2 linked regions of the Caenorhabditis elegans genome follow. The protein of the gene in region 1 purifies or fractionates together with the protein of each later gene. This does not show direct contact. Each region holds a gene or a part of one and is shown on either strand. Other genes may lie near its edges. The genes, in order: rpb-7 and pfk-1.1.

Region 1 (4,703 bases):
GATCAAACCGTGATGGGACAGCCTGGCACCACGTGAAAAATATAAGTTTTGCATGAGAATTCAAAGCAATTAGTTTTAAATCCAATATTTCCAGGTTGGTTCCTGAGACTTCTCTCAGTCCTCGCAATTCCTGTCTTCGCAATAATCTACCTGCTCAGCGGTACCGGCACACTTTACGAACGCTTCCGATGGGCAATAACTCCTCAACAACGCCGAAATTCGGCGACTTCTCTCGCCGCTGATCCCACACAAATTATCGATAGTTCTCTTTTAGATCCAATTCATACACTTACTCCAGTTTAGATAATTCTTGGTGTACTGTTGGAAGTCAACGATCGATAGCCGTGCACAGAAAAAAAGGCGGAGCGTAATTTCGCAACCTTGCGGCACGGTTTTTCCACCTATTTTGACGCCCGTTTTATTCTCTTTTTTTTTAAATAAAAACTAAATTGGATAGTCTTTTTATTAAAAAAAAAAGAGAATTCAAATCGAAATTTTATAGAAAAAATCAGCAAAACCGTGCCGCAGGATTGCAAAATTACGCTCTGCCTCTTTTCACGAATCGATCTTTTAATTTCAACAGTTATTATCGATTTATTGATTTTTCTTCCACTTTTTCAAATTTTTAAAATATTTTTCAATTCTCGAACTCGAATTATTTCTGGAGTAGCGTTTTATTTTTCCCGATCTCTTTAACCATCCACGCGGTGCCAATTCCTATTTAATCTCATAACTCACAAGCTTTCGTTTTCTGAAATTTTGTAAATAATCAATTAAAAAAAGAATTTTTATTGCACGATATAAACAAAAATATTTAATACTTAAATACTAATATCATTTTTTTGTGTAATAAGTCAGATCAGCCGAAACCGTATTAAAACATGGTAGAGGGGAAGGGGTTCACTGCAACTTTTCTTAAACGAGGGACGAGGAAATGCGGTTTCTAGGCCATGGCCGAGGATCCGACAAGATTTAGCGGCAATTTATCTTGCTTTGTTTTCCGCTTGTTTTTTTTTTTGTTTTTCACAGTTTTTTTTCCCGTTTTTCCTATTAAAACTGATGGATAAATATTTTTTCGCAGATGCTAGAACAATCGGCAAGAAGCGGTGAAAATGATCAATGTAATATGATGGATTACAGGCATACCAAACCTAAACTTTTTCCGAAACATGATATATATACTGCTTAGATGCTGAAACTACTTGATTTTCATAACGAGACCGCTGAAAAAAAGTTTTGAGATTTTTAAAATTCAACATTTTGTGCGAAAATATCGACTTTTTCACCAAAAAAGTTGAATTTTAAAAATCTCAAAACTTTTTCAGCGGTCTCGTTATGAAAATCAGGTAGTTTCAGCCTCTAAGCAGCATATATTTCATGATTCGGAAAAAGTTTAGGTTTAGTATTCCCGTAATCCATCGCTACACAATTTTTCAGTTGGAAATTGTTCTAGCATCTGCAAAAAATATTTATTCATCAGTGTTAATAAGAAAAAAACGGGAGAAAAATCGGTGAAAAACCAAAGAAAAAACGCGGAAAACAAAGCAAAATAAATTGCCGCTAAATCTTGTCGGATCCCCGGCCGTGGCCTAGAAACCGTATTTCCTCGTCCCTCATTCAAAAAAGTTGCAGTGAGGTTAGGAAATCATCACAGGATTCTTCTATTCATGTCAGTATGCAATAGATTATAATTATTATATACAGCTACCCGAGAGGTTAAAGGTATAATGGCTGGCTAGCCAACGATCGGACGATCCAGTGAACACATCTTTCGATATTTGTTCCTTCTAGCGCCGAAACCGGAAGAACTGCAAGGTCCGAGCGGTGATTGTCGTCTTCGAGCAGCATTCGGACCTGGAAAATATGATTTTAATGCAGGAATTTCGGTTTTTTTTTTCGATTTTTGAGAAAAATCTGACCTCAGCGGCAGCGGCGGCTCCTTCCATTTCACTTTTATTCACCGCTACTAAAACTGGAATATTTTGAACTATTTCGTTGGCCATTACTTCTTCTGAAATATTCGTATTATTATTATTATTTCTGGTATAAATTTGATTTATTTCAATTTCAAACTACTTACTAAACTGAGATGCTACTATTGGGAAGAGATCGCTCCTTGTTGCGTCCACAACAAAAATCATGGCATTTGCATCGTCGTAATATGTCGCCCAGAGTTCTCGTAAACTCTCCTGGCCTCCGAGATCCCAGAAATGAAGACATGTGTTGTTGAGCTCGACATTTCCAGCTGAAAATTGAAAAAAAAAATTTTTTGATTTTTAATTCATTTTAGAGGCTTACTATTCAAACCAACTGTCGCCGTGATTTTTGATGGATTCAGAACCCCGTAGTCCTTTACAAAGTGAGATTTTGTTTGCTCCAGAAACGTCTGAAATCGATAATTTCTGATATTAATCGGTGAGATCTCAAATTCAAGAGACTTACAGTTTTTCCAGCATTATCCAGACCGACTATCACCACATAATAGTCTTTTTTCTTGAAGAATTTCTCCCAGATACCCGCCGAAAGTGTGTACATATGTGAAATATTCGATTTTAAAGAGGAAAAACCGAGCGGAGTTGGCAAAATAAAAGAAAAACGAGATATGCGCCAAGGACGCCTGCTGGCGCATTCTTCGTCTCGTTGGCACGCAACTGGTGCGCTTACGCTTCGTGTACGAAATTTATTTATTTTTCGAATAGATTTTGGTGGATTTTTTCGTTTTTAATTGTTTTTTTTTGGTTTTAAAACTCAATTTTCTTGTTTTACGCAATAAATACTTGATCAGAAATCGATTTTTTGTGTGTAAAATCCAGAATTCGTGCATAAAATTTCTCTAAGGGGGTTTTTAACTTTTAGGAGTAAAGATTCTAGGTATTTTGAATGTATAAGACCGAAATATGCTCAAATAAGCGAATTTTGCAATAAAAATTCTTAAAGAGTGCTCGAACATTTTTTATGTCGGGTAAAATCTCCAATTCTGGCTACTTTCCATGTCGCAGCGATTGGAAGTGGACTTTTTTGGAATTTTCATCTCTTTTTGCATAATTTGATCGATTATCTCACGTTTTTAAGCAATAAAGGATGATAATTTAAAAAAAAGTGAACTTTCCATCGCCGCGACGCGGAAAAGTGGCCAAATTTCGCTATTCCACTCAGTAAACCCGTTCAGAATATACCCAGATTTAAACCGTACAAGCCTATATTATGAAAAATTCTAATTTTGGGCAGATGTAAACCAAGATTGTCTAGATTCAAACATAATTTGCATAGATTGCAAGTTTGAGTAGATGTAAACTGAATTTGTGTAGGTTTGTGTAGATCCAAACCAAATTTGTGCAGATAAATTCACAATATAGGCTTGTACGGTTTTAATTTGGTTTAAATCTGGGTATATTCTGAACGGGCTTACTGAACAAGTGAACTTAGCCGGGTTTTTCGGAATTTTGAGAAATTTCATTACGAAATTCGTCCATTTGAGCACATTTTGGATCTTCAACGTTAAAAATTACTCCTGTTTTAATAGTAAAAATTAAATTTTAAAAAACGATTTTTATGCTTGAAACACAGAGTTTACATGCAAAAATCGATAGAAATTTGAGTTTTAAACCAAAAAAAATCACTAAAAAACCCAGAACCGTTACGATTTCCTCTTTTAAATACAAATTTAAGAACTTTCAGATGTTCTTCCACTTGTCACTCGACCATGAAGTCTGCCTCCATCCGAAATATTTCGGTCCAAACCTGAACGAAACCATCAAAATGAAGCTGTTCAACGAAGTCGAGGGAACGTGCACAGGAAAGTACGGATTCGTCATCGCAGTCACCACAATCGACACGATCGGCCACGGCCTGATCCAGCCTGGCCGTGGATTCGTCATCTACCCGGTCCGTTACAAGGCCATCGTGTTCCGCCCGTTCAAAGGACAAGTCGTCGATGGAGTCGTCACACAGGTCAATAAAGTCGGCATTTTCTGTGATATCGGACCACTTTCATGCTTCATCAGTCGTCATTGTATTCCACCAGACATGGAATTCGATCCGAACAGTGAGAAACCGTGCTACAAGACCAATGATGAGGCGAATGTGATTCGGAATGATGATGAGATCCGTGTGAAGCTCATCGGAACACGTGTCGATGCTAACGACATTTTTGCCATCGGAACCTTGATGGACGATTTTCTCGGACTGTGCCAAGCGGAATGATCTGGTTTTCAACGATTCGCTGTATCATAATTTATCTATCACCACGTTATTTCACAATATTTTAATTTTTACTTTTTTTAAAATCCATCTGTTACGTTTAAACCTTAAAGGATCTCATTTTATTGGTTTTACTTGCTTTTTGGAACTTAAAACTTGGTTTTTTACCATTTTTAATATCTTTTTTTTTATATTCTCCTCATTTATATTCTTTAATTGGACTTAAAACTCGCATAATCCCATTTCAGATGAAGTTCCTTCCCGATGTTGCGATGTTCAGCGAGATCCGCCAGATGAATATTCGTCAGGTACTGAATTTTGCAAAAAAATTATTTTCGAGCGAAAAAAAGGGATTTTCAGTGGAAAAAGGGTGTATTTTTATAGGAAATCATCGAAAAATCCAGAGAAAATTTAGTTTTTAAGACAAATTTAATATTTTTCATGGAAAATATGTTTTTCTTTTCAGGACCGCGCAGGAGTTTTTAATTCGTAAAAATTTTTTT
Region 2 (7,678 bases), on another chromosome or scaffold:
CCTGCGTAGTCTCTTTTTTCAAATTTTAAGGAGTAGAGTCAGTGAGGAAATTTCTTTAACACACGCTACAGTGACCAAATGTTATGGTAATTTTTTAAAGTTTCAATTGATTTTTTGATTTTTTGAAAATTGGAAAAAAAATTAGAAAATTTTTTTGAAACTTTCTTTTATGATATTTGTCCATTGTGGTACCGTAGGCGTGTTTTTTTTTTAAATTTTTCCACTAGCTCTATTCATGTTTTAAATTGATTTATTTTTGATAACTAGACACAAATGACATGACGGATAAGAAATCAAATCTTTGTGCTCTCTCCCCGGCCCTTACGTTTTCTTCCTTCTCAATCCAAAATGCGTTTTGGCACGTCGAAAACATTGAGCAGTTGGAGAAACGAGGGGCAAGGCAGAAGGGCCGCGCTTTCGTTTTTTTTGCGTTGTCTTCTCTCGATCTCTTTCTCCGTGTTACGCATATTCTCTCGCACTTTGCTTCTGGCTGCTTAGTTTTTTTCCCTTGCTGAAGGCTGAAAAAGTGAAGAAGAAGAAAACACACCAATCATTCATTCAATCCAGTCGATTTGATAGGAAAATGTAATTCACAATTTTGGTTTTCATGTTTTGTTTCTGTTGTATAAATACATTCAGTTGTCTGGGTCCCCTGCGTCAAGATCAAAAGTGCATCCCCCCTCTAGGGGCTTCTTTCGTGTATTGCATCATGTGTACTTGCCATAGCATATTTCAAAGTCGAAACCTTTTATTTTTGGCTTTTTTCTACTTTTCTTTTTTCCCATGCGTTCGTCACACTCATTATTTACTCTGCATCTTTTCTCTCTCCATTTCAATCACTATCACTTCTCACTTGGCATCATTCATTGTTTTCTTATACCAAAGGAACTAAATAAAACGTTTGTTTGTTGAAGTTTCGGTATTATTTTGAACGTTTAAACTTAATATCTACTCAAATGGATTAAACTAATTCAATAAACTTTTATGGCGGTTCAAAATTTCGAAAAAACATGGCCTAATTTTAGTTAAAATCTTCAATTTTGGCAATACTTTTTTTTTGATTTTTCAATCCTCTGTTGCATATTTGGTCGTTCATCTCTTGTTTTTTTTTTGATTATAGTACAGTTAAAGCCGATAGGTGACCTATTTTTTTTTATTTTAGGTTACCTATCAGCTGTAAATTACGTATTTCCTCTAATAGTATATCATCCAATTACTTTACTCCAAAAGGATATATCTATGTTCGTTTAAAAAATATCAATAAACTGTCAACTGCAAATATATAGAAAAAAATAAAAATAAGTGTTTTTTCAGTTGATCAGTTTTCAATAAAACAAACGCCAACTGAGATTTAAGCTGTCAAAGTTGAGTAATGGAGTGCAATGTATACTACATTAGAAAAAATACGATGTATCCTAATTAACGAAATGAAGTCAAGCTATGCCATTAAATATAATAATTTGAAAAAAAGTTAATTTCTTCGGACCGATGCAACACGAAAAAATGGACAAAATTAGAGATTTTAGCTGAAATAGGTTTTTTTTTGAATTTTTAAATTTTTAAAATTTCAAACCGACATAAAAAATTTTGAAAAAAATTTGGAAGTTTCATTACAAAATTCATTGAATTTAAAATGTCCAGAACCACTCAATGCTCCTCCTATAAAAATAATAATTAAAAGTTGACCTTCCACAGGGTAATATGACCGCGCGCAGTTGTTTGTTTCTGTGTTTTCCTTGTTGTATCTGCGTCGCGCACTTTCTAACCACAATGGTCCCTGCCACACTGTATTACGCGCATTCATTGTCCGCATCGATTAATCAGTTTTTGCTTGTCAACATTTTTCTCTTGCAGTTCTCAGATTTATCCTTTTCTTCTCAAAATTTTTTCATTCTTCTCATCCCATTTTTCTCATCCTTCGTGTTAAATACTATTGTCATAAATTACAGAATTTTGCATAATTCGAAATGGACGCGGACGCATCAACAATCACGCCAGAAGAGCTCGACTTTATCCGTCAGCGAGCTTTGCGCCGCTTCGACTCAATCGTCCCAACTGCTGGAAGAGAAGGAACTGAGATTGCGTCGGATATTTTCAAGGGACGTACTCTCGCGATTTACACGTCCGGAGGAGACTCTCAAGGTACGAATGAATTAGGGCAAAATTTGAAATTTTGACCTGCCATGAAAATTTTGTGTGGAGTCTCCATATAAAATTCATTTCACTTTTAATAAAATTCAAACTTTTCCTTGTAAGAATACGTTTGAAACTTTATTTTCCAGGTATGAACAGCGCTGTTCGAAGTATCACAAGAATGGCTATATACTGTGGATGTAAAGTGTATTTGATCTACGAAGGATACGAAGGAATGATTGAAGGTGGAGATTTCATCAAGGAAGCCACGTGGAACACCGTTTCCGATATTATTCAGCAAGGAGGAACTATCATTGGTTCCGCAAGATCTTCCGAATTCAGAACTCGTGAAGGGCGTCTCAAGGTGAGAAAATAATTAGCCCAATAAAACAAATTTTTGAAAGTTTTGAAAGTTAAAATTAAATTTCCAGGCAGCCACCAACCTGATTAATCGTGGAATTGGTCGTCTTGTATGCATTGGTGGAGATGGATCTCTCACTGGAGCCAACACTTTCCGTTTGGAGTGGACCGATCTTGTGCAAGAACTTGTGAAAAATCAACGAGTCACTGCGGCGGCTGCGAAAAAGATTCCTTACATTCAAATTGTCGGACTTGTCGGATCCATCGACAACGATTTTTGTGGAACCGACATGACGATTGGAACCGACTCGGCACTTCAAAGAATTATCAGTTCTATTGATGCTGTAGTCGCAACTGCACAAAGTCATCAAAGGGCTTTTGTTATTGAGGTGATCTCAATTTATCAAGAAAATAATTCATATACTTATTTTACTCTAGGTCATGGGTCGCCATTGTGGATATCTGGCTCTAGTTGCTGCTCTAGCTTCCGAAGCCGACTTCTGCTTCATTCCTGAATGGCCGGCACCGGAAAATTGGCGTGACGTCTTGTGCGACAAACTTTCTCAAATGAGATCAGAGGGTCAACGTCTTAACATCATTATTGTCGCCGAGGGAGCTATTGATCGTGATGGAAAGGCTATCACCGCCGAGGATGTGAAGACTGCTGTCAAGGAGAAGCTGAAATACGATACACGCGTTACAATTCTTGGACATGTTCAACGCGGAGGTGCTCCATCTGCTTTTGATCGACTTCTTGGATGTAGAATGGGAGCAGAAGCAGTTTTTGCTCTCATGGAGATGACTGAGGTTTCTGGGATTTTCTGTGAATTTTTCATTAATGGTTTGAACGTATGAACCAATATGTTTTCAAATTAACAAAAATCTTAATTGTAGTTTTTTTCAGTGCCGCAGCGGCCCGAAGTTGGCTTTTTTGGATTATCGAACTTTGTCGTAAATTTTGTTCCTTCATCTCATATTATTTTGATAGTTAAGGTTAGGGCTTCCTTGTGAGAGAGGCGCGGCGTTGGCGCCTCCACGGGCCTCCCGCCGGACCTCCTTCACCGTCTGCCGCTGTTTCGCAGCTTGGCGTGAAAAGAGAAATTTGACGTGTGCGCAACGTAGTTCGCAAAGATGGCAGCGGTCGACACTTTGGGGGTTCCGCGCCGTACTATACCTGTGGCGCGATTTGCGGCGTGAAGCCGGCGCTGACGCCTTACCGGCGCCACATGGAAGCCCTAGTCAAGGTATATTTAAAACCGGTAGGTGACCAAAAAATGTCAAAAATTAGTAAATGCAATAAAAGATAATAATGCGCTCAAAAAATCAATTTCAGGCAGCTTCGACACCGAAAAAAGCTCAGAATTAGAGATTTTAGACTATTTTTTCTAACATTTTGTACAGTCAAAGAAAAAAGTTTGAACATTTTTTGCAAAGCTTCATAACGAAATTTACAAATTTTTTCGTTTATTTGAGCACATTTTGGGTCTACACTTTCACCGTTCAAACCGTTATTCCTGCTTGAAAGAAAAGAAGTATAATTTTTTTTTATTTCAGGAATCAGAACCTTGTGTTATCTCAATTGACGGAAATGTTATGGTCCGTGTGCCACTTCTCAAGTGTGTCGAACGAACTCAAATGGTACAGAAGGCAATGGCGGATAAGGACTGGACCACGGCTGTGATGCTTCGTGGACGCAGTTTCCAGAGAAATCTTGAAACGTACAAGTTGCTGACTAAGATGAGAACCGTCGAAAAGGACAATCTTTCGGAAGGACACAAATTCAATGTTGCTGTAATCAACGTTGGCGCTCCAGCCGGTGGAATGAATGCAGCCGTCCGCTCTTATGTTCGAATGGCTCTCTACCATCAGTGTACCGTGTACGGTATTGAAGACAGTTTTGAGGGACTTGCCAATGGGTCATTCAAACAGTTCAAGTGGTCCGATGTTACTAACTGGGCAATGAACGGAGGATCGTTCCTTGGCACACAGAAAAGTCTTCCAACTGAGAAAACTATGCCTCAACTTGCTGCTCAACTGAAGAAGCACAATATTCAAGCGTTATTGCTTGTTGGAGGATTTGAAGCGTATCACAGCACAATAATTCTTGCTGAAAATCGCGAAAAGTATCCCGAGTTTTGCATTCCAATGTGTGTCATCCCATGCACCATCTCGAACAATGTTCCAGGTTTGTTTTTCATTATATAAGGTTTTTAAACAATACATTTCTAATTTTAGGAACTATGGTGTCTCTCGGATCCGATACCGCGATCAATGAGATTTGCCAGATGATCGACAAAATCAAGCAATCTGCCACTGGTACCAAGAGAAGAGTTTTCATTGTCGAAACAATGGGAGGATACTGTGGTTACCTTGCCACTCTTTCTGCGTTGAGCTCCGGTGCGGATAATGCGTACATTTTTGAAGAGCCATTCACCGTTCAAGACCTCTCCGATGATGTTGATGTGATTCTCTCAAAGATGGAAGTTGGAGCGAAACGCTACTTGGTTGTCAGAAATGAGTGGGCCGACAAGAACCTCACCACAGATTTTGTGCAGAATCTTTTTGATTCTGAAGGAAAGAAGAACTTCACCACAAGAGTCAATGTTCTCGGACATGTTCAACAGGGTGGATCTCCAACGCCGTTCGACAGAAATATGGGAACCAAGCTGGCCGCTCGTGCTTTGGAGTTTTTGCTCATTCAGCTCAAGGAAAATTTGACGGCCGATAACAAGGTGATCGCCAAGTCAGCCCATACTGCGACGCTTCTTGGACTCAAAGGACGAAAGGTGGTGTTCACGCCGGTGCAAGATCTCAAGAAGGAGACCGATTTTGAGCATCGTCTTCCATCAGAGCAATGGTTAGTGGACAAGTAGTTTGTAGAAAAAACTATTCAATCTCTAGACTAAAAATAACATAATGGAATACAGCATGTCTGTATTCTTGTTAAATATCTAAACCATAAGTTTAAGGGCTATATGCAATACTCGTGGAGCACGATTTCCTCTAGCGTTAGAGCGCACTTTCTGACATCTTACAAACTCGCGCGGTAATTTGTTTCTATCAAAAATCAGTTTCTTTGGCTAGTTTTTGGCTCCTTTAGAAGATTTTTTTTCCGATTTATATTATTGTTATGATTTGTTAAACATTTTCGATATACAAATCGAAAGTGTGTAAATTTAGGAAATTTTGGAAACTGTATCATAACAGTCAGTTTTTCGATTTTAGGCCGGTATTTGGTTGATCATTTTGTAGAGAAGATGCATATTCATGAAATCCCTTGATTACTTATTGATTTGATTAGTTCTCAACATTTAAAATTTGAAAAAATCACGTAGATCTTTATAACTGTGTAATTTCAAAAATCATGAAGTTAATCACCGCCGGATATGAATTGTTTATAATTTCTGTGATGACTGTTTAAAAAAAAAACTTTCGTTCTCGGCCGTAAGAGCCCAATTTTACATGTTTGCCATTCGCTTAATGTTCCTCATAGTCAGCAATAATGTAAATTAAAAATTTGACAATAATTTCCGTAGAACCCAAAAAATATGTTTTCAAAAACTGATTTCCTGTGGAAGCTGATTCCCGCGTATTCGAGAATTTGTTAGTTGTTAGTAAGCGCGCTCTAATGACAATGAACGCTCCTGGACACATTCTGCGATAAATTTCAATTTAAAAATTTCAGGTGGATGGCTCTGCGTCCACTTCTCCGTGTTCTCGCTCGTCATCGTTCGACCGTTGAAAGTTCTGCAATTTTGGAATCTGTTGAAGAAGAAAGCGCCGACTCACACATGTTCTGAAAAGTTTTGATGTCTCCATAGCGACTACTTTTTTCTGTCTGTCATAATACTTTTTTTTGTGTGTTACACTTACTCGGTATTGTAAATGTTCTCATGGTCTATATTAAATCTTTGCTCGTCTAAATTGTCTCTTTTTACTAAGCTTCCATAGGTTCTCACAATTTTTTTTCTCGCCATTCTTTGCACAAGTTGATTGAAGTCTTAGCCCCTATTTCTTAGTAGTTGAAAATATGCCATGATGCAAATAAATGAAGTGTTTTAAAATATGTAGTTATTTTAAAAATATGTTTATTCAAAGTATTTTATCATTAGAACTGTTCCTATGAAAAGTTTTTTTTGTTCCAAAGCTACAGAGGTTTAAAAAAAAATCATCTAAAAGTAGACCCGTGAGATGTCCACCGCTATATCTCCAGTCAAACTTCTGTTGAAAATTTTAGGGGATCTGAAAAAGAAATCAGCAATATTGTGAACAACATTTTGATTAATTTCACTATAATATTTGATCTTTTTGGCACTATAAGTATAGACTATTAATTAATCTAAATGATATTTGTATTTGTTACAAAATCAAGACAAGAATCTTTAATACACAGAAATATATTTTATTTCTAAAAAGTATGTACAAAGTCCATATATCACAGTGAGAAACACTTAAATCTTCATTTTCTTGATCCAGTAACCGACGTCTCTGTGATAGTATCGGTCGTTGATTTTTCAGGCTTAGCATCAGCTGCAAAAGCTGGATCATCGAAGCCAGTACTAGCTGATCCACCACCAAACAATCCACCGGCTCCTGGAGAAGCAACTGGCGCAGTTTGCCCTACAGGTGAGTAGTCTGGTCCGACATTTGAACTACCTGCTCCAGGTTGCGGCATAGCTGGAACTGGAGGTGATGCTTGGAACCCGGTCTGTGATCCTCCTTGTTGTCCGAACCCGGATTGGTCTCCCTGGAATTGACCTTGACCTTGGAATCCTCCATTTTGCCCTTGGAATCCGCCAGACTGGCCTTGAAATCCTCCCTGTTGGAACCCGCTGTTTGGATAGTTTCCTCCTTGCTGGTATCCACCTTGCCCATATTGTTGAGGTCTACCATACCCACCTCCAGGTTGTCCATAACCACTTGGCCTTCCGTAGCCACCACCTCCATTGTGCCCATATTGACTTTCTGGTGGGGAATAGTTGCTTGGAGCACCATATGATCCACGTTTCACCCTTAAGATGATAAAGTCTTTAATTGTGAAAAGTGGAAATATACCTGTTCAGAATTCCGGCATTGGCAAATGCGACGAGGGCAAGAATACTAAGAGATTTTAGGAGAGAAGTCATTTTTTTAGAAACAAATGAAAGTGAGATTTGAATTTTAGGTAACTCGATCACATTTTTAT

What was found.
Region 2: the proteins of rpb-7 (region 1) and pfk-1.1 fractionate together in Caenorhabditis elegans (co-fractionation; one large-scale study listed by BioGRID). This does not show direct contact.

Annotation. Positions count from the first base shown.
Region 1 is NC_003279.8:3,030,838-3,035,540, reverse strand, and holds rpb-7 (DNA-directed RNA polymerase II subunit RPB7), read left to right. Parts: upstream 1-2,602; coding exon 2,603-2,671; intron 2,672-3,678; coding exon 3,679-4,203; downstream 4,204-4,703. Other genes in the region: mod-5 (Transporter), read left to right, coding at 95-303; Y54E10BR.2 (ADP-ribosylation factor-related protein 1), read right to left, coding at 1,717-1,854, 1,920-2,011, 2,081-2,245, 2,299-2,386, 2,443-2,535; sec-11 (Signal peptidase complex catalytic subunit SEC11), read left to right, coding at 4,449-4,508.
Region 2 is NC_003284.9:2,938,923-2,946,600, forward strand, and holds pfk-1.1 (ATP-dependent 6-phosphofructokinase 1), read left to right. Parts: upstream 1-1,949; 5' UTR 1,950-1,967; coding exon 1,968-2,142; intron 2,143-2,282; coding exon 2,283-2,497; intron 2,498-2,564; coding exon 2,565-2,882; intron 2,883-2,931; coding exon 2,932-3,300; intron 3,301-4,047; coding exon 4,048-4,678; intron 4,679-4,728; coding exon 4,729-5,350; exon of another isoform or gene 5,351-6,178; coding exon 6,179-6,293; 3' UTR 6,294-6,556; downstream 6,557-7,678. Other genes in the region: Y41G9A.10 (Prion-like-(Q/N-rich)-domain-bearing protein), read right to left, coding at 6,953-7,505, 7,549-7,619. UniProt on the Caenorhabditis elegans protein: Catalyzes the phosphorylation of D-fructose 6-phosphate to fructose 1,6-bisphosphate by ATP, the first committing step of glycolysis.